6 linked regions of the Mus musculus genome follow. The protein of the gene in region 2 purifies or fractionates together with the protein of the main gene of each other region. This does not show direct contact. Links are inferred from orthologs where the notes say so. Each region holds a gene or a part of one and is shown on either strand. Other genes may lie near its edges.

Region 1 (4,202 bases), on a different chromosome or scaffold from region 2:
AAAGAAAGAAGAGAGAAAAGGAAGGGGAGAAGAAGGGAGGGAGGGGGAAGGAAGGAGGGAGAGAAGACGGAATGAAATTAAAAGAATGTGTAGAATTAAGTTGTTTGTTCTGGAAGGGAAGAGCTGCCATGACAGACTCTGTGCAAGCTAGAGAATCAGAACCAGGAACACAAGTCTGTGGAAATCAGAAATCCAGGGACCCACAGGGACTCCCACAGAAGTCTCAGCGTCCCACAGAAGGGTTCCAGAAGTCCCAGTCTCCAAAGGCAGGAGGAGATCCATGTTCCAGCACACGAAGAGAGAACTCAGGGGCTGGAGAGGGAGCTCAGCGGTGAAGAGCACTGGCTGCTCTTCTAGAAGACCCAGGTTCAGTTCCCAGTACCCACGTGGTGCCTTGCAACATGGAGTCCAGTCCGTAACACCCGCTCCTGGAGATCTGACATCCTCAGCACCAGGTTCACGAACAGTGCAGACACACATGCAGGAAAAAAATACTCATACACATAAGATAAAATAAAATAAAAACAATTTTGAGAGAGAGTGCGTGTACACACACACACACACACAGACACACACACACAGGCCCCTTTTCTCTGTTCTTTCATTGTTAGACCCTGCTCAGTTCGCTAGGTGAGGTGCGCCCACATTGCTGAGGTAAGGCAGGATTCACAGCAAGAATCGCAACTCTGCCTATAATCTAGATCTTACACAAGCCCAAGAATCTAAAGTAAGGTTGATATCCAATACCCTATGTGCTATGCACCTGCACAGCTACTAGATTATTCTCTAGTGGGCGTCAGGATGTTTGGATACCTCACCCAGACAATATATAATTTAAAACTTGACCAGAATGGTAGCAATCTCAACAAGCTGTGGCAGAGGCAGGTAGATCTTGGTGAGTTCAAAGCCAGCCTCATCTACATGGTGTGTTCCAGGACAGCCAAGGCAATATAGTGAAATAGTCTCAAAATACGTTAAACTGCTGACCTCTATTATAAGCCACTCCTACTGGGTGATGGCCAGTCCTGATGTGTATCATTCCTAGGGTCCAACAAAGGGACTTGATTTCCAGCCTCCTGAAAACCAGGGGTAACATACCAATGAGGATTCATTTTCTAGTCCACACTGGCTGGGTAGCTACCAAAGACAAAAGTGCATTTCCTGACCCCTGGCAAATGAACTGCTTCATGAACACATTAAGGAATGGCTGTCCTATGAGACTGGAGAGGTCCTTCAGTGGAATCTAGATGTCACAAAGTTTTCTTTGAGTCTGACTCCTATTTTAAACTACTGTATATGTAAAATTCATGTAAGAAAATTAACAATAAGGAGCTGGGCATTGGTGATGCACACCTTTAATCCCAGCACATGGGAGGCAGAGGCAGGTAAACCTCTGAATTTGAGGACAGCCTGGTCTACAAAGTGAGTTCCAGAATAGCCAGGGCTACACAGAGAAACCCTGTCTAGCAAACAAAAACAAAGGAAAGAAAAAGAAAATTAAAAGATACTAATGAGGCCTTTGCATATCATAGCAGGAACTTTCTGTAATAAAAAAACATAACCTGCCTATTAAGTGCTTGGAGGTAGAGAATAAATGGGCAAGATCTCTCATGTTCTAAACAACTTCCCACCCCCACCCCCACCCCAACCCCACCCCGTTCTACAAATACAAAAACAAGGCCAAGGGGGTTAAATGATTTTTTCAGTCATCAGTGACAGGTTTATGAGAAAGAAACAAGAAACACACCACATGATCTGGCTCCCTGGGGCAAAGTGAATTTACAAGTTGAACTGACTTCATTTTATCTACATTTACAGTGAGAAAACAGAATTCCATTTCCAGGAAGTGTGTCCTGAAGAAAGACTACTGACAAAGCACAATCCGTCTCAAATTCCCTTAATGAACCACAAGTTCATTCATCCTAATTGCAAAAGATGAAATTGTAATCCTTGAAGTGTCTAACCTAGTGTTAATGGCTAATAGCTCTGTACCAGTACCAGTCTATGGGGGCAGAAAGTATTCCGTCCGGTATGGACTATTCATTAACTGGTACTATTCCTAAAGAGAGTGGGTTTGGATCCATTTAAAATACGCTGAAATTTTAATACAAAATCAACATAACGTTTGTCAATAAGTAAAAGCTTCCTGTCCCAAGAGCATCGTCACCCCTGCGTGAACTCGAGCTGTCAGCCCACGCTCGCGTCTCGCCCGGGGAGAAGGGTGCTGCAGCGTGGGAGAAAGGTGCTGGCGTCTCCCGCTCAATTTCAATTCTCCCACGCCCAGAGCAGTCAGTGCGCTGGGGTTTCCATCAGCGCGCAACTTGGCACCGGGATCAGTCACGCCGGCCACCTGCAGGTGACCTTCGTCCCCAGCACAGAGCAGACAGCCTCCGCCTAGGGGTCAGGGCCTTGGGGCATCAAGGCCCTAGGCTGGGGCGGCTCTCCGGGTCAGAGACACCCTGGCAGCCACACCCACAGGCGGCGCGGTGACAGGTGCCCGGGCCCTCCGGGTCCCGCAGCCCACGAGCGCCCGCCCCCGCGCGCACCACCTGTCGGGCCGACGCGCGCGCACCCGGCAGCGGACGCCCCGCCCGGCTCCTAAGGAGTCCCTGGTCAGGGCAGCCCGAAAGCCGGGGCATGTGAGAACTTTACCGGAGGGTGGGCCCTACGCAGGCGGTGTCGGTGCTTTCGATCTCCTGCAAGATCCGCTCGTGCTCCGGGACCGTGCCCAGAGCCTCGCAGCTCTCCGCCATCTTGGCTGGAAGCGGAGGCGCCGGCCGGGCGCGGCGGCGCGCGGACCACAGGAGCGAGCGGCAGGTGGCGCAAGCGCGGCGCGGCGCTGCGGGGCGGGGAGGGGCGGGGCCTGGAGGGGTGGGGCGCAGTGGGTGGGGCCCGCCCGGGTGGAGCCCGCCCCTGGGGAGGTAAGGATGACCTGGAGAGGGTGGGGATCGGGGCGGGGGGGGGGGGTGGCCGGGAGGGGAGGGGAACCACCACCTCCATCTTTCCTCGCGACCTGCCCTTAGTTATCTAGAGATGTTTTAGTGCAGTGTGTGCTGTTGTGCACTGCAGGTACCCTAGCAATAACGGAGGTGACCCTCGGTCACACGCCCTCAGTAATAGTGATAGAAGCTACTGAGCACCTGATGGGCTTTAAATAGTGGGGAGTCAGAGAAAAGCAAATGCTTTCCCGAAAATCAAAACTGAGTGTGTCGTTGAGATTTATTTTAAGAACAAACAAAAATTCTATACCTCGACTGCTCTGAAAAAATCGTGTCCCCTGCCGGATGCAAGTTCACCGAGGTTAGTCATATTGGACATAAACTATCAAAATGAGGGAAAATGAGAACAAGACTAAGGCGCTTGCTGGCAACGTAGAAAAGAGGCCCAGGGCAATGTTGGATTTCATGCTGAAGCTCTTGAATCCAAGCGCTCCCAGGGAGTGGTAGCTGGGCTGGGGTGGGAATAGACTTCTAGGGGGAAAGAATGAGCAATAAAGTGGTAGAAGGAAATGGCAGGTGGCTTGAGCAAAGGGACACATGTAGAAAAAGAGGCTTGCTTAACAACCTGTATCTAGGACACCGTGTAAACCAGCTTGTCATGATCAAAGCACTGATGGAAGATTAGTCAGAAAAGAGTTCAAACCTAGCCAGAGGGACAACTAATTTTCTGCTCTCCCTAAGTTCAGGAGCTCTGAGCTTCCCTGTGAGTCAGGCAGGCTTTGCACGAGCCAGCTGTCAGACTCACTCTCTTCCCTGGGCCTCTACTACCAGCTTTTTCCCTCTTCTTCCTCCTTTTCCTCCTTCTCCTTTTCTCCCTCTTCCTCCTCCTCTTCCTCCCCATAAGAAATCCTGGGAGATGATATTGAGAAACAATTAAGAACATGTCCTCTGAAGACAACTGTCCCAAACCCCACTCAGTCATGTGACACTAGGCAAAACTTAATACTTTTCTATCTCAGTGTCCCCAGCCGCAGCTGCTAATAACTGTGGTATCTACCTTGTACTACATCCTATATTATATTAACTTCCATTATTTCTGTAACAAATGCCAGAGCATAAAATGACTCAAGTGTAATCTGTTAGAATGCTCACTGGGCTATAGTCAACATGGCGACACAACTGCATTTTTTTCCAGACTCTAGGAAAGAATTTGTTCCTTTTCTTTGCCAGATTCCAAATGCTATCATAGTCTTTGCCTATGAC
Region 2 (4,008 bases):
GCCTGCAAAGTTTTATAAAGGCTTCCTTCCACATGCTACAAATACTGACAGACCTGAGGCCCACATATTGAAATTTATCCCAAACCAGTTTTCCCAACTCATTTCTTTTCATGTTGATCTGTCTCAGTACAGGACACAGGTGTGTCACACAGCACTGACCATTACGAAGCCATTTTGTTGACTTGGAATGTTTTACAACATACTTAAACCCTGTGGACCTAATATTTTTCTAGGCAGCATGGAAGTGCACTGCTCCTAGATGTGCTAACGTGAGAAGTGTCTTTCAAGTTAAAGAGTAGCCTGAAATGTTCTGGTGTGACCATACACTCTACTTAAAGAATTATTAAAAAACAGAGCAAGACATGGTATGTGCTCTTGACAGTCCCAGTATTGGGGGGTTGTATGTGATGCTTAACACATTATCTTTCTCCTTTTGACTGCATTTTTCAGAGGGCACTTTTATATGCTGTCTGTGTCTCTGAGGAATGTGCTGACATTGTGTAATGTAAATACAAATGACGCATCTGTAGCACGTGTACACGTACACACACAAAGACACAGAGCAGAGCCTCAGACCACAGAAGTCGTGCTCTCGGGATTCACCCGCAGGAGCCGGGATGCGTTCCGGAGGTCCTGCAGCTGCTTGGCGGGCTTCCCCACACCTTCCTCAAACCTCCTCTCCACCACCGGGAGGACAGTTTCATAGAGAAAGGATGCGTTCTGCCTGATGAAGGCCTTCTTCTCGGGGTCCTGCTCACAGCGCAGGCTGTAGTCCACATGCTGCACAGCCACCAGGATGATTTCTACCAGGCTCTCCAGGAGCACCATGTGGAGCTCAGGGAAGTACAGTTTCAATGCCTCCTCCAGGAAGCCCATAGTCTGCTTGGTGAAGGCTACCACCGTGTAGCTCAAGTTCACCCAGCAGTCATCTCCCGTGTACTGCTCAAAGTTACTGACCCCGCAACTTTTCATCTCCTCCTTGAGCTTGCCCAGGGCCTCAGGAGTCATCAGGTTCATGCGGCGCCACATCTCCTCCGAGTTTCGGTGCTTGGTGGCTTCAATGATAATCTCCTTGTAACTGTGCAGGGCGCCCTGGATGTCCTTCACCAGCAGGGCGTGGATGATGAAGGTGAGGTCCAGCCCAATCTCTCCCAGCTGCTGGCAGTGCTCCTTGGCCACCTTCACACACTCAGCAGCGGTGGACAGGCTCTCCTTGCTGTCAAAAACCTGCTTGCTGAAAGCATCCACGAACATGCCCATGGCCGACCTTGCCCAGACCACAAAGGCAGAGTAGCAGCCACTGTCAGTGCCTGCAAAGTCCGTCTCAAACTCTCTCGCGGTCTCTAGGAGGCTGGTAAAGAAGACGTGGCACAGCTTGTGAATGTAGAGCAGCGTGGCGCCCTCAATCCTGAGCTGGCGGATGGCAGTGTGCACGGCTGCGGCCCTGTTCCTCAGAAACAGCTCGCAAGCCTTCGTGCACTGGCCCAGCCGGATCAGCTGAGACACGGCTCTCCGAGTAGCCTTGGGGCCGCCTCTCAGAGAGCGATCCGGGGAGAGCTCAAACACAAGCACCTCGGTGAGCTGTCGCACTCGTTCGTCCACTTTGGCCCTCAGCTCTTTCACAGGAGGTGGGCTGGGCTTATCTTCCAGGTAGTGATTTAATTTGTCCAGCAAGTCCACGGCACCCTCAAAGTCCCTCTGTGCAATACAAACATCCAAGTCTTCCGGCAGCTCTTGGATCCACTCCATGGAAAGGTCAACCTTTTCCTCCTCCGCCTCAGGGGTGGCCAGTTCTTCATCATCCTCGTCCTCAAACGGGTTGCTGCCCTTGGAAGTGACCGGTGGTGGCGCACGCGGGGCTGCTGCCTCCTCCTGCTCCCGCCTCCTCTTGTCGCTGAGGGCCCTCTTGGTTTCCTCCAGCACTTCCAGCCACTCGCGCTTGATCTTGGCATTTTCCGCCTGGAAGATTCGGCTCTCGGGGAACATGAGAAGCTTGAACATGTCTTTCATGGGCGGATTGTCTTTGACGTTGACCACCGCCAGGCGGTCCAGCGGGTAGAGTGCGTTGTAGCGGTACATGCCTCGCCGTTGTGGCAGCCAGGTGGCCACCAGCAGACAGTCGTTCATGAGGAAGCCGTGCACGCGCTGCAGCTGGGCCATGTGGTCCGCATCGTATTCCACCAGGTCCCCGTTGTACACCAGGTACTGACCTGGCGTCTCCAACAGGTCCCTGCAGCCCTCCACCTTCTCCAGCAGCGTGGTGAGCGTTCGCTGCTTGCCCTCCTCGCCCGTCCCGGAACCCTCTCGAGGGACGCCCGCCGGCCCGGGCAGGAAGCCCGCCTGGACCGCCCCGCGCTCCCGCGGCCCCGCGCCGGCCGTGTCCTCACCCGCAGAGGCGCCCGCGGCGGCGGCGGGCAGCAGTGCCAGCGGGATGCTCTCCAGGCTGCTCTTCTGCTCAGTCAGCAGGTGGCTCAGCTGGTACATTTCGCTCTCCAGGTAGGAGATCTCCCGCGCCGTCTCGATGAACTGCCGGTAGTTCTGGTAGACGTTGCGCTTCAGGTTCTGTGCCGTCTCCTCTGCCAGCGCCTGCACCCGCTGCCGGTGCTCCTGCAGGTCGCGGTCGCCGTCCGACTGCTGCGACAGTTGCTTCACGTACAGCCGCGCCTCGAAGCCCCCCGACTCCAGCTGCCTCCGCAGGCGGCTCGCCCCGCTGTCCGACATGGCTGCCACTCGTCTTGCTCCCGCGGCCCGCAGTGGCTGTTACTCGCCGCCTCCGGGCCCCACCCGAGCCCGGTGGAGAAGGCAGCGGAGGAAGCGGGGCGGGAGCAACACCCAAACGCCTGCGCCGGAGCCGAGCGCTGCATTGCGCCTGTGCCAGAGTCGAGCCGCTCGCACTGCGCCTGCGCCCGGGGCGGAGTGCGGACAATGCGCCTGCGCGGAAACGGCAGCGTCTTAAGGCGCGTGCGCGGACGAGCCAGCACGGAAGTCAGAGGAGGGTCCGGCACGGACCAGACTTGACGTGTGTCGCCGGACCTCAGCGGCTGTCAGGAGACAACCGGCTGCCTAAAGCCGTCCCCAGCCCGAGCCCAGCGTTCCTAAGCCTGTGCCCGCGGGGCAGCGCCGAGCCACCTTCGGTTAGGCGTTCGAGGCTAGCCCGCGCGCCCTGACAGCAGGGCCGGGAGGCCTCGCGAGATCCGTGCGCCGCACGAGCCCGACCGGCGTCTTGGGAGCGGCCGAGGTGGGAGTAGCGGGATGGACGAGGATCTGGTGGTCGCGTTGCGGCTGCAGGAGGAGTGGGACGTGCAGATGGCGCGGCGCGCGGCGGCGGCGCGGGAGCCCGTGTCGTTGGTGGACGCGTCCTGGGAGCTGGTGGACCCCACCCCAGACCTGCAGGCGCTCTTCCTGCAGTTTAACGATCGCTTCTTCTGGGGTCAGCTGGAGGCGGTGGAGGTGAAGTGGAGTGTGCGCATGACCCTGTGAGTGCGTCCGCGAACGGCTCGGAACGTCGGGAAGGGCCAGGCCGCTAAATTGTCGTTGGTGTCCCCGCCTCGCGGCGCAGGGAGAGGTCGCCGGGAAACGTGCCCACTCCCCAGTCCCGGGCCCAACGTCCCTCAGTGATGAACCAGCCGGATCCCTTATCAGAGTTTGAGAAATCCTATTCGAGATAGTAATCTGCCCCGCACATACACTGTCACATAGCAGCTTGAGGTAAAGCAGGCTAAGACGTAGTGTACTTCTAACCTCATACCAGCCCTGTGACTGTTTTGGGAGAAGTGCCCATGTATGCCTGTGCGGAGGGGAGAGGGTGACAGTGGGTGAGGGTTAGCAAGTGTTAACTCTCTGAAGCCAAGTGACCCACTCAGGAAAGCCATCCTCCCATCAGGGACGTTTTCTTGTGAAACAGTTCTTGCCCAAGAACTGTTAGGGATTTGCTGCCCACCCCCACCCCCTTTTTTGTGGGGAGAGGGGAGAGGGCCTCACTATGTATCTGTGGCTGTCCTGGAACAT
Region 3 (3,500 bases), on a different chromosome or scaffold from region 2:
TTTTTCCTGCAGGTCAAAGGTTGTCCAGGGAGAGGAGGGGGACATGATGTTGTGCACCCCGCCCCAGAATGAGATCCCAGAGCACTGACTCCAGCCTTCTCAAAAACGTCAGCATTTTCATACTGAAAAAGTCTGTGTTTTGTTTCATTGTTGTTGTTTAGACAAGGTCTCCTTAAGTAGACTATGCTGGCCTTGAACTCACAGAGATCTGCCAGCTCCTGCCTTCTGAGTAGCGGGATCAAAGGCATGTGCTACCATGACCAGACAGCCTTCTTGGTTTTAAAACATAAAGCCTTAGTCCGGGTGTGGGAGGCAGAGGACAACTAGCACTACACCTTGTCTCAAACATGCACCCTCCTCCTCTCCAGAGAAGACTAAGGCTATACCTGGATGCCCTCTGTATTTCCCTCAGCTAGGAACAGAAGTCTGAGCATCATAAGAAGCAACGTGAGAGTTCAGATAACAATGTAAAGAAAACAAAGATGCTGGGATACGGCAGCTGGGAGAGGGCTTGCCAAGCACTGGGGTCCACCCTGACACCCACAAACCAGGTGCAACGGTCCACACCTGTGTTTCTAGCACTCCTTACACACACACGAGATCTACAGGTCAGTCTAGAGCATATGAGACCCTGTCTAGATAGATAGATAGATAGATAGATAGACACACACATACACACATAGACAGAAGACAGGCAGACAGACAGAACCAGGGACATGGTGCGGTGGAGGATAAGAACCTGGCAACGTGAACTCAATTCCCTGGGGCCCACATGATAACCAAAATCTAGCTGACGATGGAACACAACTCACTGTGCCCCAGGCTACAGAGAGCACCAAGCTCTTAAAGCCAGGTCCTCCGAATGTCCCTTGAGAGTACTCAGCCCTCTTCTAGAACCAGCTAGTCAAACAGCTCTCCTTGGTAGGGTACAAAGAGAGGGAGTGACATCCCACAGCGCTAGCCTGGGCTACAGTGTGAACTGAGAACAAGAAGAGGTAGACAGATCTGTGGCCGAGCATAACTGGGTGCAGACATAGCCCTTCTGTTCTGCCTGCCCTGGCTCTGCACTGATTTCACAAGCCCAGGATGTGAAGTAAGAGCCCACAGCACAGCATGGGAAAACGGCGTGAAGTTCAGCTGTAAGGCACCTACTTCAACTGTGTGCTAACACTCTGAACTCTGATGTAAAAGAAAAACCACAGGGCGGTCATGTGATTGTGTAGAGCCCTGGGTTCCATTCCCAGCACTGCATAAACCGGGTGCTATGATGCCCGCCTGTCATTCCAGTGCTGGAAGGTAGAGGGCTGGAGGCTGGAAGATCACAAGTTCAAGGGTCTCTTCAGCTACTTACGGAGCTCTAGGCTAGCCTGTGTGAGACTTTCAAACAAAACAAAAAAAAAAAGGATGAAAAAAGAAAAAGGAAAACAGAAAAATGACAAGTCAACTGTGATGGCACAAAGCTTGAATGCTAGCACTTGGGAGATGGAGGCAGAAGGACTAGAAAGTCATCACTGCCTACATAACCAAGCTTGAGGTCAGACTGCGGGTGTGACACTGCCAACATAACCAAGCTTGAGGTCAGACTGCGGGTGTGACACTGCCTACATAACCAAGCTTGAGGTCAGACTGCAGGTGTGACACTGCCTACATAACCAAGCTTGAGGTCAGACTGCGGGTGGTACGAGACCCTGTCAAAAGAAAAAAGGTGGAGGAGAAAGAGGAGGAGGAGAAGGAAGAGGAGAAAAAAGAAAGAGAAGGAGGAAGAAGAGGAGGAAGAAAGGAGGAAAAGGAGGAGAAGAGGAGGAAGAAGAAGGGGGCAGTGGTAGCAGAGGCAGCAGCCACAGTGGCTGAGTGGTCAGGAGAGAGTGCCACTCATGCAGAGAGCCTGAATTCAGTTCCCGGTACCCACATCAGACAGTTCACAGCTACCTGCAACTTCAATTCCAGGGGATTTTTCTTACTTCTATAAGCACCTACATTCACATACCCCTACATAGATAGACACACACACACACACAGAGTTGAAATAAAATTAAAAGCCAAGCAAACGAGATGGCTGTGTCTTGAGACAGCAAAAGCCAGATTCTGAGAAGCCTCCAGAACTCGTCCTACCTTGTCCACATTGGCGCGGGTCTTTGCAGATGTCTCCACGTACTGCACACCCCACTCCTCCGCTTTGCCTCGGGCCTCGTCCACAGGCACCTGCCTCCGCTCCTCCAGGTCGGACTTGTTGCCCACGACCAGCAGTGGGATCTTGTCCTCCTCTGACTTGACTCGGAGAATCTGTTCCCTAGGGACGGTGCGGCAAGAACAGTGTGGTTAAGAAAGCCAAAACTGGCGGGAGAGGCACCAGGACGGCTCAGCGGCTGAGTGCTTGCCTCCAAGGCAGTCTGAGGACCTGGGTTTGATCTACACTGTGAGTGGTGATAACTGGTTCCTGCAGGTTGTCCTCCTTCCTCCACGTGAACTATGGTATGTATGCCGGTGCACGCACAGCGCACAAATAAATAAAGTTGCTTTGTTTTGTTTAAAAGCTGGCATATGAAGTCAGCTTTACAAGTAGCTGCCAGGTGCCTCGGGGTTTACAGAGCATCTAAAGCCCTCGGTAAAGAACAAGAGAAATCATTCCATCGGGAGATTTCAAAATGGGTGTCTACTAGCAGGGGCTTTTCCAGGCTGGCCCTTAGCTTTCGTCCATTATGATCATCTGGTCTCTCCCAGGTACGGATTTCTCTGCCCCATACTCCTACAAAAGAGATGTCTGCATAGGAAGTCAGGAGTCTGCATCTCAACGGAGTCCCCCAATTTATGGGGTCAAAGAGAAAGGGAGAGGGAAGTCAGGAAGAAACCCTCTGTGAATCTCGGGGACATGGCCCAGATGGCAGGGTGCTCCCACTGTATACACAGAGCCCCTCCCCACCCCCCACCCCTGGTTCCTTCTCAGCACTCTACAGGCAGGCATGGTGCTACACGCCTGTAAACCCAGGAGACAGGAAGACCAGAAGTTCATGGTCATCTTAGCTACATAGTAAGTTTAAGGCTTCATGAGACACTACTTAAAACAACAAACAAAACAAAAAAATCCAATCAAACCCAAAGCAACAGCTCACAAAAATGCTTAGTAATTCCAATACAGGCACAAGGGAGAGAAGAAAGCAGTGTGTACAGACATCCTGTTTTATCTCCGGGATGGCCTCAAAATCAGATTATGAAGAGGAAACACAGTTGTGATCACAAAAGTGTTACCCACATAGAAACTTCCTGAATGCTCAAAAAAAATCTGCAGCCGCAAGAGCTCACGCTGAGTTCTCTGCTGTGCGTCTCCTCCATACACACACCGCAGCTGCAGAAAGCAAGCCAGAACCTTCAGCTCTTTAGAGACCTTTAGGAGGCAGGGCCTGGTGGGAAGAAGATAGGTCTCTGGGGTGTGCCCTGGGAAGGGACACTGGGACTCTAGACTCCCTCTTTTGCACCCCAGCTGCCGTGTACCACACAAGCCT
Region 4 (3,500 bases), on a different chromosome or scaffold from region 2:
ACTTGATATCTAGGTGATTTTGGCAGGCATTTAGATCAGCACAGATTGAAGGTAGAGCTGCTTTTGAAAGCATGTTCAGAACAGTATCCTAACCACAGTGTGCCAGGTACTGACACATACACACACACATATGCACATGCTATACATATACACACATATAGTGTACATGCATAAATCCATCCTAAAATACTCAGATACCATGTAAATAAAACAATGACTGAGATAAACTTTACTATCTTTCCCTCTTGAAGTGATCAAATAAAAGTCAATTTTTAAAAACTCATCCTAATTCTGTGAGTGTGTATCAAAGGAACAAAGCTAGGCTTCTAATGAAAGTGATCAATGATGGGATGGGAGGAAAAGGGACTCAGAACATAATCTCTCACCTGAGCCTTAGCATACAAGAAGTAGACAAAGGAGTTCACACAACACACATGTTTCCAAAGGGAGGTTCCAAGGAGAGCCCTGGCATGCACAGGTCCTAGCGGGCTTGGGTGTCAGTGGATTGGGTTGAGGCTGGAGGCACTGTGGGTCAGCTGCCTTTTGGAGAGAATCTTGGGAGGAAAGCATAGGTCTGTGTGTGCAGGCAGAATAGGAGTGAGAGAGGTGGCAGTGGGGTTGGGGAAAAAGTAGTGGGTGTAGTTTGTATTCAGAGGTAGTGTGCAGGTCTTGCTGGTGAATCATAGGGAGAAATCAAGACAAGTGTTCAGATATAGCAATGAAACAGGCTTCTGGCTAAGCAGGTGCTGTCCACAAAGTTTCTTTCTTGAAGGAAACCTGCCAGGTTTCTGGTTTTTAGTGTACTGCATGAGAGGATCCTGTGAACGAATACTTAGGAGATAATAGGTAATCTAAGATCCCTGTATAAGTCTCAGAGGTTTTGAACTGCAAATCCCCGTAAGGGAGATAGTATTTGAAACTAAAGGCAAAATTAGTGGGAGGTAATAGAAGAGAAAAATATTTCCCATACTCAGATCAGACAATTGGTAGCTTTCAGAAGGCTACTGTGTATCACTCTGTGAGCCAAACAAAGCAGAAAGCAGAGCAGTAGAGCTCTGTGGTTTGTCTGGGTGGGAGAGAGAAACCCTGTGCTGTGGTACCTTCCTGGCTGTTGGCGGTCATCTCACCTGGGCACGTAGCCTTCATCCTTACAACATTCAGGCTAATCGTGCCATTTCCCTGCTTACTACACTTAATACACTTTGGTATCTTATATAATAGTATATAAAACTACTTCTCATGTAAGACAGTGAACTCAGGAGTTAGCTTTTTAAGTGATTATGATATAAACTTTTAACTTATATTTTTAAGTTTCAAAGTAAAAGTATATTTGTACAAAGAAGAATGATGAAAGCTTCACAGCTTAACATGAAATCTTAAGTCATGTAAGTTAAGGGTATGTGCTAGGTATATATTTGGTACTGGTTCTTAATCAGCAGAGTAGCCTAACCCTTCTTGTACTCATTCATGTCAATGATGCCCAGCTCCATAGCTCTAGTATGTGTGCTATATATGCACATATAGAAAGCATGACTTATATTCTCACATTGACTTCACGGGAATATTGTAATTATTTATGCGTCTCTTAACTTGAAAGGTCTTTGACATGTCTTTACACTTAGTCAACAGTACCTGAAAACTTTAAACTTAACAGATACATTTTGTGTTATGTTAATGAAGTATTAGAGTTTGTTCTACAGTACTTAATTTTGTTTTGCTTCTCTATCTGAAAAGGTCATAAGCTTGTCCTTTTAGGCCATTTTTATATAGTAGTATTTGGTTGTCAGAACATTTGTTAGTAAGAAACTAGCAGAAGTCCAGTTGAATAGATTCCTCTTAACTATGAAAACAGTCTCCTGTACATTACATTAAATAAAGAAAAACATAGACTTTATGAGTAAATAGAAATAAATAATTCTAAAATGATAGAATGTATTCACTCCTAAGATACACTGCGAAGAAAACAGTGATTTATAAATAAAAATAAAGGGACAGATGTAGTGCTTGTGTTTTTGATAAATATTTACCAATTTCCTTTGGCACAGATGTTGTGTGCTCTCCATTAGCTCAGCGTTTACTCTCCCTTTGTTGCTTTGCCAGACAGTGAGATGTGATGGGAAGAGTGCCGTCCTGGGCACGACGCACCATGTGGTTCAGTTGCAAGTTGAGCATTGATGGGAAATGGCACACCTAATTCACCTACGAAATTTGTAGTCTCAGCTTGGTTCTTGAGTGTGTGCCTCGATTTGTAGCAGAGCTTAGAAAGACGAAGGCTAACTCGTTTTGGAATAAGAAAGGTTTTGTTTCTGGTTATGTCTTAACATTCATTTAATCAGGTTAAGTCTCATGTCTTCCTGTATGGATGCTAAAGCATTTCTTAACTTTTCTAAGTTATTTCTAAAAGATAGCTAATTTTTTTTTGTCAATTTCTTAGACGGCTGAGAAGTCAGGCCAGAGTGAAAGATCAAAGAATGTGAGGCAGAGACAAAACGATTTCAAGGTGAGTGAAGGGTGAGAATGCTGACTTCTCAGAGCACTCTCTCTCCTGGCGTTATTGAAGACTTTACAGTCAAGATACTGTCTTATCATTTAGAACAAACTCTACCAGGTTGATGACCATAATGCAGTTTTGCTTTTCATTTTCTAGAAAATGATTCAAGAAGTAATGCACTCCCTGGTGAAGCTGATCCGGGGAGCCCTGCTTCCACTCAGCCTCCGAGAAGGGGATGGGAGGCAGTATGGCGGCTGGGAGGTGCAGGCAGAGCTTTCGGGGCAGTGGCTCGCACACGTTATCCAGACCATAAGGCAAGTGTGGGCACGTGGGAGCCATGCTCATGGAAAGGGCTCAGTGGGTTTACATGCATTTGTTTGCTGTAGTGGTTTTTAAAACAGTCAACACCCCAGAGTAAGATATGCTACTTAACATGTCATTGAGGAATTTATCTTCTGCCTCTCTGTCCTGAGGCTCCTATTTCTCACTTATCTAGCCAAGCAGTTCTTCAGCATGTCTGGTATATGTGCTGGATGAGAGTGTCATACTGTCTGTGCACCCATCTGCTGCAGAGACCCTGTACTGTTCCTGCTGCGCTCATGCTGTCACTCCTGAGCTCCGTGAGGCATACACACAGGACAGTCCAGGCAAGGCAGGGCTGCTCGGATCCCCCTTTTCTCACTTGTGTTTTATCTGTTTGCCAGGCTAACATATGAATCACTGACCGCCCTGGAGATTCCCAATGACATGTTACAGATTATCCAGGACCTAATTTTGGATCTCCGAATACGTTGCATAATGGTGACATTGCAGCATACGGCCGAAGGTATCTTAGTTTTACTGGACAAAGTTACCTGAGCTGGCTTCTTTCCAGCTTCCAAAGCCTTGAAAATGAGAGAAAAATAGTGTTAGATAAATTTGCACCTATTTATTCATTTATAGCTGTAGAATAGAATTTTTTCTTTTTTTTAAGTATCTTTTCAAAACAATTTAAGATTTAAGGCATTGC
Region 5 (3,500 bases), on a different chromosome or scaffold from region 2:
CACTTCATTTTTGGTCTCCTGATTAGTTTCAGGGCTATGGATGCAAAGCAGTACAATGGCCAGGTACAATGGTGGGCAAAGTGCTGAGGAAAGCAGGTTCTCTAGGGATGGCCAGCCTCTCTCAGTTAACAAAGCCAACTTTGTGTGAGAGACAGCCTGAGCTCTCAATGGTCCTATACAATCTCAGATCTATGTTATGGTCCTGCTAAAGCTCTACAGGTGACACTCATGGAGTAGAAATAATAAAGATAGATAGCTATGTCAGGTGGATGGCCCTCTCAGGATGGAGGGTAAAAGAAAGTAAGACCAGACTGATATTACTGCAGTCTCTAGGTTCAGCCAAGGCACCAGTGACAGAGCCTTTGACTATGCTGTTCTCTGTAGAGGGCCTGTAATCCATCGCTGATGACTTACTCTGGTCTAGCCTCTATATACCCTAATCTGCATGAGTGAAGTGAGTTGGCTGACACCCTTGTTCTTAGAACTGAACTGGCTCCTTGACTTCCCTGTTCTTAGGGCTACAGGGAGAAAGGCCAGAGGTCTAATTTACTTCCGGGCATACTTTCCAAAGGTCTTTGGCCAATCCTGGGCCATTTCTTCTCCTTTGTGGGCAGATTTTTGAAGAGGGGTATAGTTGGAGACTATGAATCAAAAGACAGGGATCCCACAAATGCAATTTACATCTTGCATGCTATACACTAGGCCCAGTGTGAGTTCATCTATGTTTATATATCCACTGGGATACATATAGTTGATATGGGCATCTGAGTGGCAAGGAAACACAGCTGTCTCACTCTCTGACAGTGACAGCCAAAGCTAACTGTGACTTTTCTCCCTAGTCTAAACTCAAGAGTAATTCTTTCAGGTTGGAGTTTTCCATCCAGAACTGAATTCCTGCCCATACTTGGAAGCCTGCTCTAGGCTAGGAAGGAGGGCAGATGACCTGACTGGGTTGGAAAGAGAGCACAATGGTCCTTACGGCCCTGGTGAGTACAGCCTGCTATTTTAAACACTAGTTGCACAATTATGTTTGTGAAACTGGCAGGGTTTTAGATTATTCTGAAGGAATCCTCTTCCTTTTGCTGGATAAGCTATAAATCCAAACAACTTAAAAACCAACAGGAAAGAGGAAACAGAGAAGCCCTTTCTACATTTGCAGGACATTTGGTTTGATTGATGTTATAATTTCCTGCAGCAGCACTGAAATGAGTGTCCAGACATGGCCTGTAGCTCCAGGGGAGGATCCTATACTCTACAGGAGAAAGAGACAAACCAAGAGGCAAATAGTTCTTGGCCACCGAAGCCTTTGGTTGGAATCATGCTCTCAGGTGCTATGAAGGCTGACAGTGGCATGATGGTTTGTATCCAGGAATGGTCAAAACTTAAAGTGACTCCTCCCCTTTCCTATCTCTTGAAAGTCTAGCATTCTCTCCTCCTTTAGGCAGTCCACCTTTCAGTGACATAGGGACTTTGCCTTTTCCTAGATAGTACTGGCAGTGCTATGGGTTCTTCTGTCTTGCCTTACTATGAAGATTCAGATTTAGAAAGAGAAACTAGCAGGCATGGGGAGCAGCTGCCTCTGGGGAAGCAGAACCAGGTCAGGAGAGACGGAGCTCATGTGAGGCTGGAAGATGGAGATTTCAGTGACCTGGGGAGCCTTTGCCTTCCAATTTTGGAGCTAAAGAGTTCAAGTCCACTGATGGCTAGGACTTAGCACACAGCTTTGTTGCCTGCTAGGTGAGAATGTCGAGACATCACCTAAGGAAGAGTACAGGATCCCAAGAGACATGACTGAGCATCAGGCCAAACACTGGACTGTCTCCCCATTTCTACTGAGTCATGAGAACTCTGGACATGGTTTGTCTCTGATGAGGACTCCTCATGGGATATGTAGGTTCTAGACCCTGAAGTCATAAGCCTTGTCCCCAGGAACTGGGATTTACTTAGCAGCTCTTCTGGCAGGGCTGAACTGCAGACTCTATGCCAATAAGAGTACCAAGCACGCCAGAAAGCTGAATGGAAGAGATCCTTTCTCCAGTGCTGATGGAAAAGCCCCTGCCATTACTCCCACCCTGAAATGAATTGGTAAACCAAAGCTCTGTAACGAACAAAGAAAGAAAGGGGAAGTGCTTACTGGGTGGTACCAGGCTAGTTTAGGAGGTTAGTTTGTCAGGGTAGAGACCACTCACAGGATCAGGATTTTAGTTTAGTTATTGTCATCACTGATGGGAAATGGGAAGGACTTGCCTCAAACTGATGAAAAATTCCTAAGTGAACAATATACTTACTCTCTAGATAGCCTAGAAAAGAAAATCGTTGGGAGAGAGAACCATGGGAGAAAGTTAACATGAAAACATCAATTCTCAGCATATCGCTTGGCTTCACACACAGTGCCCAACGTCCTACTCTTGCCTACTCTTTGCTTCCCCTCACATTTGGTACACTCTCCAATCCCCCACCCCTAGTAAGAAAGATATTACACCTTCATTCCTTTTTTTCCCCCTCCCTAATGATCTATTCTGACCTTCTGTACTCTAGCCTTTGTCTTTCTAGGGTTGGAGCATGCCTGGCTGCCCATACACATGAGCTTTCTTCACCACCTTGATAAAGGTATCTTTTGACTAGTCAGTCTAATTTGCTTTAAAAACCTCTTAACATGGGTCTTAGTTTCTGGCTTGGTATTTCTCAACTAGAGCCAGGTTGCAGTATATACTGACACCTGGGTGACATGTTGGCTAGCTTTAAGATGTGTGGTGCTGCATAATCTAGTTCAATTAAACCACATTTCTGAGGCATGTGTTCGACATATCATTAAACCCCAAAGGCTGGGACACACTCCTCTGCTTATCATGTTGTCCGGAGCCCAAACTAAGTCATCTTACATCTTGTCTTCCTTAGGTAAAGACACTTTGTCTATTTAGGCTACAAAGCAATAAAGAATTCCATTATGATCTGTATATATAGTTTGCTAGAGCTAAGTAAGAATTATGACTGACTGCCAAGTACAATGGTCAAGATGGCTGACAGCACTGGAAACAGTTAAATGGTCTTGTATAATACCCCTTACTCCACTGCCCACCTCCGACACAGAGTACAGGATTGGATACTCACTTCTCAAGCAGGGTCAGAGCTGTCACAGGGTTCACCCGGAGATACTTGCAGTTGGGCTGTCCATAGTCGGCAAGGTATGTGGACCAATCCCACTGAATAAAGAGGTCCAATAGCTGAAAAATACCCCAATCCCCATACCAAGGGTTAAACAAACAGACAAGGGAAATCAGGATCTCAGTAATTTCATTATTCTTTACTACCAGCTAACTCCTAAAATACTGAAATGGACATGTAACAAAGGTAAGAATAGCTGAAGGCCACACTACAACGAAGTACATGTCAATGATAGAGTAATTTCCACCATAAGCACAAGTCCACTGCTGAGATTCCACACTAGCAGTGAGCCTCAAGGGCCAGCCTGTGGAGACACTATTCTGGACTGATCTCAA
Region 6 (4,186 bases), on a different chromosome or scaffold from region 2:
TCGCATTTGCAGCCATCCTCCTGCCTCTGCCTCTCAAGTATCAAGAGTGCAGGTCTTGCCTGCCATCACGCCTGGCTGAGATGGTTGATTTTATACAATTTATGTGTTTGTTTTGCTTTACAGCTTTGAGACAGGTTTTGCTATGTAGCTCTGGCCATCCTGGAACTCACTATGTAGGCCAATCTGGACTTGCTGCAATCCTCCTGCCTCACCTCCTAAGTCCTAGAATTACAGGCGTGAGTCCCCATGCCTAGCTAGGTACAGGACGTATTTTTTACCATAGTGAAGAAACCTCCAATCCATATATAGAAATCAAATGCTAAACTTACACTTGAAATAGTATGATGGAAAATTATATCACTCAGTCCCCAGGCACAGGACCTAACACGTACATTGTGACTGCTATGTATCTTCCTCTTTTATCCGTTTGCTTAACATTTGAGACATGGTGTCACTACATAACCCAGGCTAGTCTGGAATACCACATATCCCAGGCTGGCTTCAAACTCACAAGTTCTAGGCCTGGGCCACCACACCTGGCTTCTACAGACTTCCTTAAACTGTCACATGTCCCTCATGAGACCGAGACAGGGACTGATGTCCATCTGTCCGTCGTCTCACGCTAACCTATACGTTTCTTACCACTTTGTTGAGTTCTGGGCTGTCTGGGCTATTGTCCTGAAAATACTCCACAGCCTTCTGGATTTTGGCCATACTTCCCAGGTACTCTTCCAGCCTACCTGTGGGGCTGGGAAAGAGAAAAGCTGGCTTAGCCTTGGAGGGCAGGGATAACATAGACAGACTATGGCCACGGTCTGCGGGAGAAGAAGAGAACGCAGATAAGGGGCTCCACGCTCACATGGGTTTTACTTGGCTCCATGGGTCCAGGAGACATTAGTTATGTGAGCAGAGCTCTGCATGGAACTCACCCCTCTCGGATGATCTTCTCCGTGTCGCTGGCTACGTGGTAGTAGCTGATAACGTGGTCCAGGCAGGATAACGTCTTCTCCACGTTCTCCTGCAGCCTCTGTAGGTTCTCTGTCTGCTTGTGCACAGGGATGATAGAGTTCTCCAGCTTCATGAGTCGGCTCTCAAAGGACGACAGGATGGACACCTGTGGGGGGGAACTCCTCTGGCTCATGGCTCCCAGGGCTGTCCTGGAAATACTCACAGACATTTCTTGTCTTTTCTTGGTTTTCTAGACGATACACTGCTACCCATAGGAAGGAACATAGTCGACTTGTTTGCTACAACTGCACTCCTAGTCTGGTACACGGCTCACCATAAACTGGTTGAAAGTTCATCTGACGGCAAGAGGAACATTAAGCGAATTCTTCCTTCAAGGAGCTGGAGAGATGACTCTGCTCTTGCAGAGGACTGGTACTGAGTTCTCAGCACGCACATCTGCCAGCTTACAACTGACTGCCTGTAACTCCAATTCCACAGGATATGACAGCCTCTTCTGACCTCTGCAGGCACTGCTCATTTGTGGGACACATACACACATGCAAACACTCATGCACATAAAATAAATTTGCTTATTTGCAAAAAGAGATAATCAGGCTGGAGAGCCAGCTCAGCAGTTAAGAACACTGGCTGCTCTTCGGAAGTCCTGAGTTCAATTCCCAGCACCACATAGCGGCTCAACCACAACCATCTATAATGAGATCTAGTGCCCTCTTCTGGCATATGGCCATACATACAACCAGAACACTATACATAATAAATTTTTTTTTTCAATCACCTCAGGATAGATTCCTTTCTACCCTTGAAAGTCAAATCTCAATTTCTGTTCTCTCTGAAGTTTTCCTAGACTGAACAGAAAGTAGCTTCCTCCAAAATAGTTGCAAATATATTACTGTTACCTCAAACAAACAGCCAACCTCTTTCCCTAAGGGCAAATCTCATTCAACAAGTATTTTATTACTGTGTAAATACAAATGCAAGCACTTTTAAAGCATCTTACTGTATACCAGACACTGGGAAGCATGCATAGACTTCCTCCACGGACACACTGGGAGGCTGACATTGTCTGCTTTACCAGGTAAATTAACCATAACTCAAGGCCTACCACCAGGAACCACATAGTAAGCTGTAGGACATTGGGTAGATCTAAGACGCATTAACTCTCTGAGATGGTTTTGCTTCCAAAGCCCCTGTGACTTCGCTGCCTCGCCTCGCTTGAATTTGACAATGACACGGGGCCAGTACCAGGCCATGTACAGGATATCACGAAATGTTTGCAGAAGGACAGACAGTAACAGGTATAGGGCAGCGGTTTCCTCGGTGATGGGGTGGAAACTGGGGTGCAGAGATACCCATCGCTGCAAGATATGCCCACTGTTTACTACCCACGCTGGAGTCCCTGGACAGGCGCAGGACACGTCCATCACACGCCCCTCCTCTGGGGCTCAGGAGCCTGGCGGCAGCCTCCCAGCTGAAAGGCTACTCACCATGTTCCTAGTGAGCTGGTCGCTCTTCTCCAGGCTGTCTCGGATAAACGACAGCGTCTCCTCCTCCTGCGAGGGGCAGAGAGGAGGACATCACCACAAGCCGATGGTGAAAGGCGACCACCAGCACCCAGCACCCAGCACCACGGCCTACGCCTAACCCTATCTCCCCTTCCACCCCGGTTCGATGCCCCTGAGCGCCTTTCCTTCACTTTCTCCCCAGCGTCACCTGCTTCAGTTTGTCCTCGATCTCCCGCCGCCGGGCGGAAGCCTCCTGCGGGGGAATCATAGCAGCGGACAGCGCTGTCCCCACTCCCCGCTGTTTTAGCTCCAAACCCTGCTCGGCTTCCGTCCCTGTCACGCCCACTTCCTCCCTCGGCCCCGCCCCCGGACGCTTTCGGGGGCGCCATGTTGGGAGTGGCAGGCGGAAGTGTGTTCCTGCCGGAGCTCGCGAGCGGGCTGCGGGTCGACGCCATCTTGAATGTGGCTGGAAGAGCCGCTCACCTGAGGCATACGTGGGTCTTTCCTCGTAGCCAGAGGCTGGTTTGCTCGCTCCTTTGAAAGACAGCCCCTTGCTGGGAGACTGAAGCAGGAGGCCATTCACGAGTTCGAAGCCAGTTTGGATCACATAGTAAATTCCAGGCTAGCCTAGGCTACAGAGTCAGACTTGGTCTCCAAACCAAAAATCAAGCAAACCAACATTATACCTGAATTTTTTTTAGATCGTTTTGGCTGCTCTGGAATAGGTTATGTAGACCAGGCTGACTTCTGCCTACCGTGGGCTGGATTAAAGAAAGGTGTGCTCTGCCAAACCCAGCTCACCCAAGAAAAAGCAGGGCGGTGGCGGAAGGCAGGAGGTGGAGGCTGGCACGGAGTGGTATATAGGGTTTACAGTTCTCTCCCTCCCATGTGTAGGACCCAGAGGGATTGAATTCGGGTGCCAGGTTTTGTGGCAAATGCCTTAACCTGCTGAGCTATTTCACCAGCTCATGATTTATTTGTGGATTTTAACATGGTGTATAGATAGATGTTTCGCCCATGGGTATGTATGTCTGTGCCGTCACTTGCATGCCAGGTGCCCTGGAAGACCAGAAGGTTATCTGATCCCTCTGGAGCTGACATTACAGTAGTGAGCTGTCTGTCATGTGGGTTCTGGGAACCCTAACCCTAACTCAGGCTTCCTGGAAGAGTAAGAAAGAGCTCTTAACTGCTGAGCCATCTTTCCAGTTAGCTAAACCCTAATTTAGGATAAAAGCGCTGACTGAGGAGACAAATTTGTTTTTGCAGATCATATCTTAACGGTTCAAGTCTGGAGACTGGATTCCACACAGAGTGGCTTACAATGGATACTTCAGAACTTGTGGGATCCCACGTGGGTTTAATAACAGAGACACAGAGACATCTGTATAGTATAAGGCTGTTTGCCTGTTTGCTGGGGCAGTCCCTCAGCTAACCCTCCAGACTCAACGCGACTTCCCTGCTACGAGTCCCTGGCGTTCTCTCTGCTCAACCTCCCTGTCCTGCTCAGTTCTGCTTCTGTCTCTCTCTCCTCCTGCCCCGACTCCAACAGTCAACTCTAGTCCTCAAAGGCCACACGCCTTACTCATCCAATCTGAGCCAATCAGCAACGGACAACGCCTAGTCTGAGCCAATCAGCAGCAGGACAACACCTAGTCTGAGCCAATCAGCAGCAGGACAACGCCCGGTCCATATTTCTGTGTTGTCTTTTGGCTTTG

The links.
Region 1: the proteins of Exoc8 (region 2) and Exoc6 purify together in Homo sapiens (affinity purification with mass spectrometry; 4 studies listed by BioGRID and IntAct, counting the BioPlex papers as one, with this or other methods). This does not show direct contact. The link is inferred for Mus musculus from reciprocal best matches to the Homo sapiens genes EXOC8 and EXOC6.
Region 3: the proteins of Exoc8 (region 2) and Ralb purify together in Homo sapiens (affinity purification with western blotting; 6 studies listed by BioGRID and IntAct, counting the BioPlex papers as one, with this or other methods). This does not show direct contact. The link is inferred for Mus musculus from reciprocal best matches to the Homo sapiens genes EXOC8 and RALB.
Region 4: the proteins of Exoc8 (region 2) and Exoc2 purify together in Homo sapiens (affinity purification with mass spectrometry; 7 studies listed by BioGRID and IntAct, counting the BioPlex papers as one, with this or other methods). This does not show direct contact. The link is inferred for Mus musculus from reciprocal best matches to the Homo sapiens genes EXOC8 and EXOC2.
Region 5: the proteins of Exoc8 (region 2) and Exoc6b purify together in Homo sapiens (affinity purification with mass spectrometry; 3 studies listed by BioGRID and IntAct, counting the BioPlex papers as one, with this or other methods). This does not show direct contact. The link is inferred for Mus musculus from reciprocal best matches to the Homo sapiens genes EXOC8 and EXOC6B.
Region 6: the proteins of Exoc8 (region 2) and Exoc7 purify together in Homo sapiens (affinity purification with mass spectrometry; 4 studies listed by BioGRID and IntAct, counting the BioPlex papers as one, with this or other methods). This does not show direct contact. The link is inferred for Mus musculus from reciprocal best matches to the Homo sapiens genes EXOC8 and EXOC7.

Annotation. Positions count from the first base shown.
Region 1 is NC_000085.6:37,549,016-37,553,217, reverse strand, and holds the start of Exoc6 (exocyst complex component 6), read right to left. Parts: upstream 2,801-4,202; 5' UTR 2,754-2,800; coding exon 2,653-2,753; intron 1-2,652. UniProt on the Homo sapiens protein: Component of the exocyst complex involved in the docking of exocytic vesicles with fusion sites on the plasma membrane.
Region 2 is NC_000074.6:124,894,906-124,898,913, forward strand, and holds the start of Exoc8 (exocyst complex component 8), read right to left. Parts: upstream 2,801-4,008; 5' UTR 2,722-2,800; coding exon 571-2,721; 3' UTR 1-570. Other genes in the region: Sprtn (sprT-like domain-containing protein Spartan), read left to right, coding at 3,253-3,476. UniProt on the Homo sapiens protein: Component of the exocyst complex involved in the docking of exocytic vesicles with fusion sites on the plasma membrane.
Region 3 is NC_000067.6:119,473,783-119,477,282, forward strand, and holds part of Ralb (ras-related protein Ral-B), read right to left. Parts: intron 2,291-3,500; coding exon 2,113-2,290; intron 1-2,112. UniProt on the Homo sapiens protein: Multifunctional GTPase involved in a variety of cellular processes including gene expression, cell migration, cell proliferation, oncogenic transformation and membrane trafficking.
Region 4 is NC_000079.6:30,876,548-30,880,047, reverse strand, and holds part of Exoc2 (exocyst complex component 2), read left to right. Parts: intron 1-2,434; coding exon 2,435-2,500; intron 2,501-2,647; coding exon 2,648-2,805; intron 2,806-3,195; coding exon 3,196-3,317; intron 3,318-3,500. UniProt on the Homo sapiens protein: Component of the exocyst complex involved in the docking of exocytic vesicles with fusion sites on the plasma membrane.
Region 5 is NC_000072.6:84,622,014-84,625,513, forward strand, and holds part of Exoc6b (exocyst complex component 6B), read right to left. Parts: intron 3,225-3,500; coding exon 3,112-3,224; intron 1-3,111. UniProt on the Homo sapiens protein: Component of the exocyst complex involved in the docking of exocytic vesicles with fusion sites on the plasma membrane.
Region 6 is NC_000077.6:116,303,935-116,308,120, forward strand, and holds the start of Exoc7 (exocyst complex component 7), read right to left. Parts: upstream 2,801-4,186; 5' UTR 2,740-2,800; coding exon 2,680-2,739; intron 2,520-2,679; coding exon 2,454-2,519; intron 1,115-2,453; coding exon 930-1,114; intron 749-929; coding exon 643-748; intron 1-642. UniProt on the Homo sapiens protein: Component of the exocyst complex involved in the docking of exocytic vesicles with fusion sites on the plasma membrane.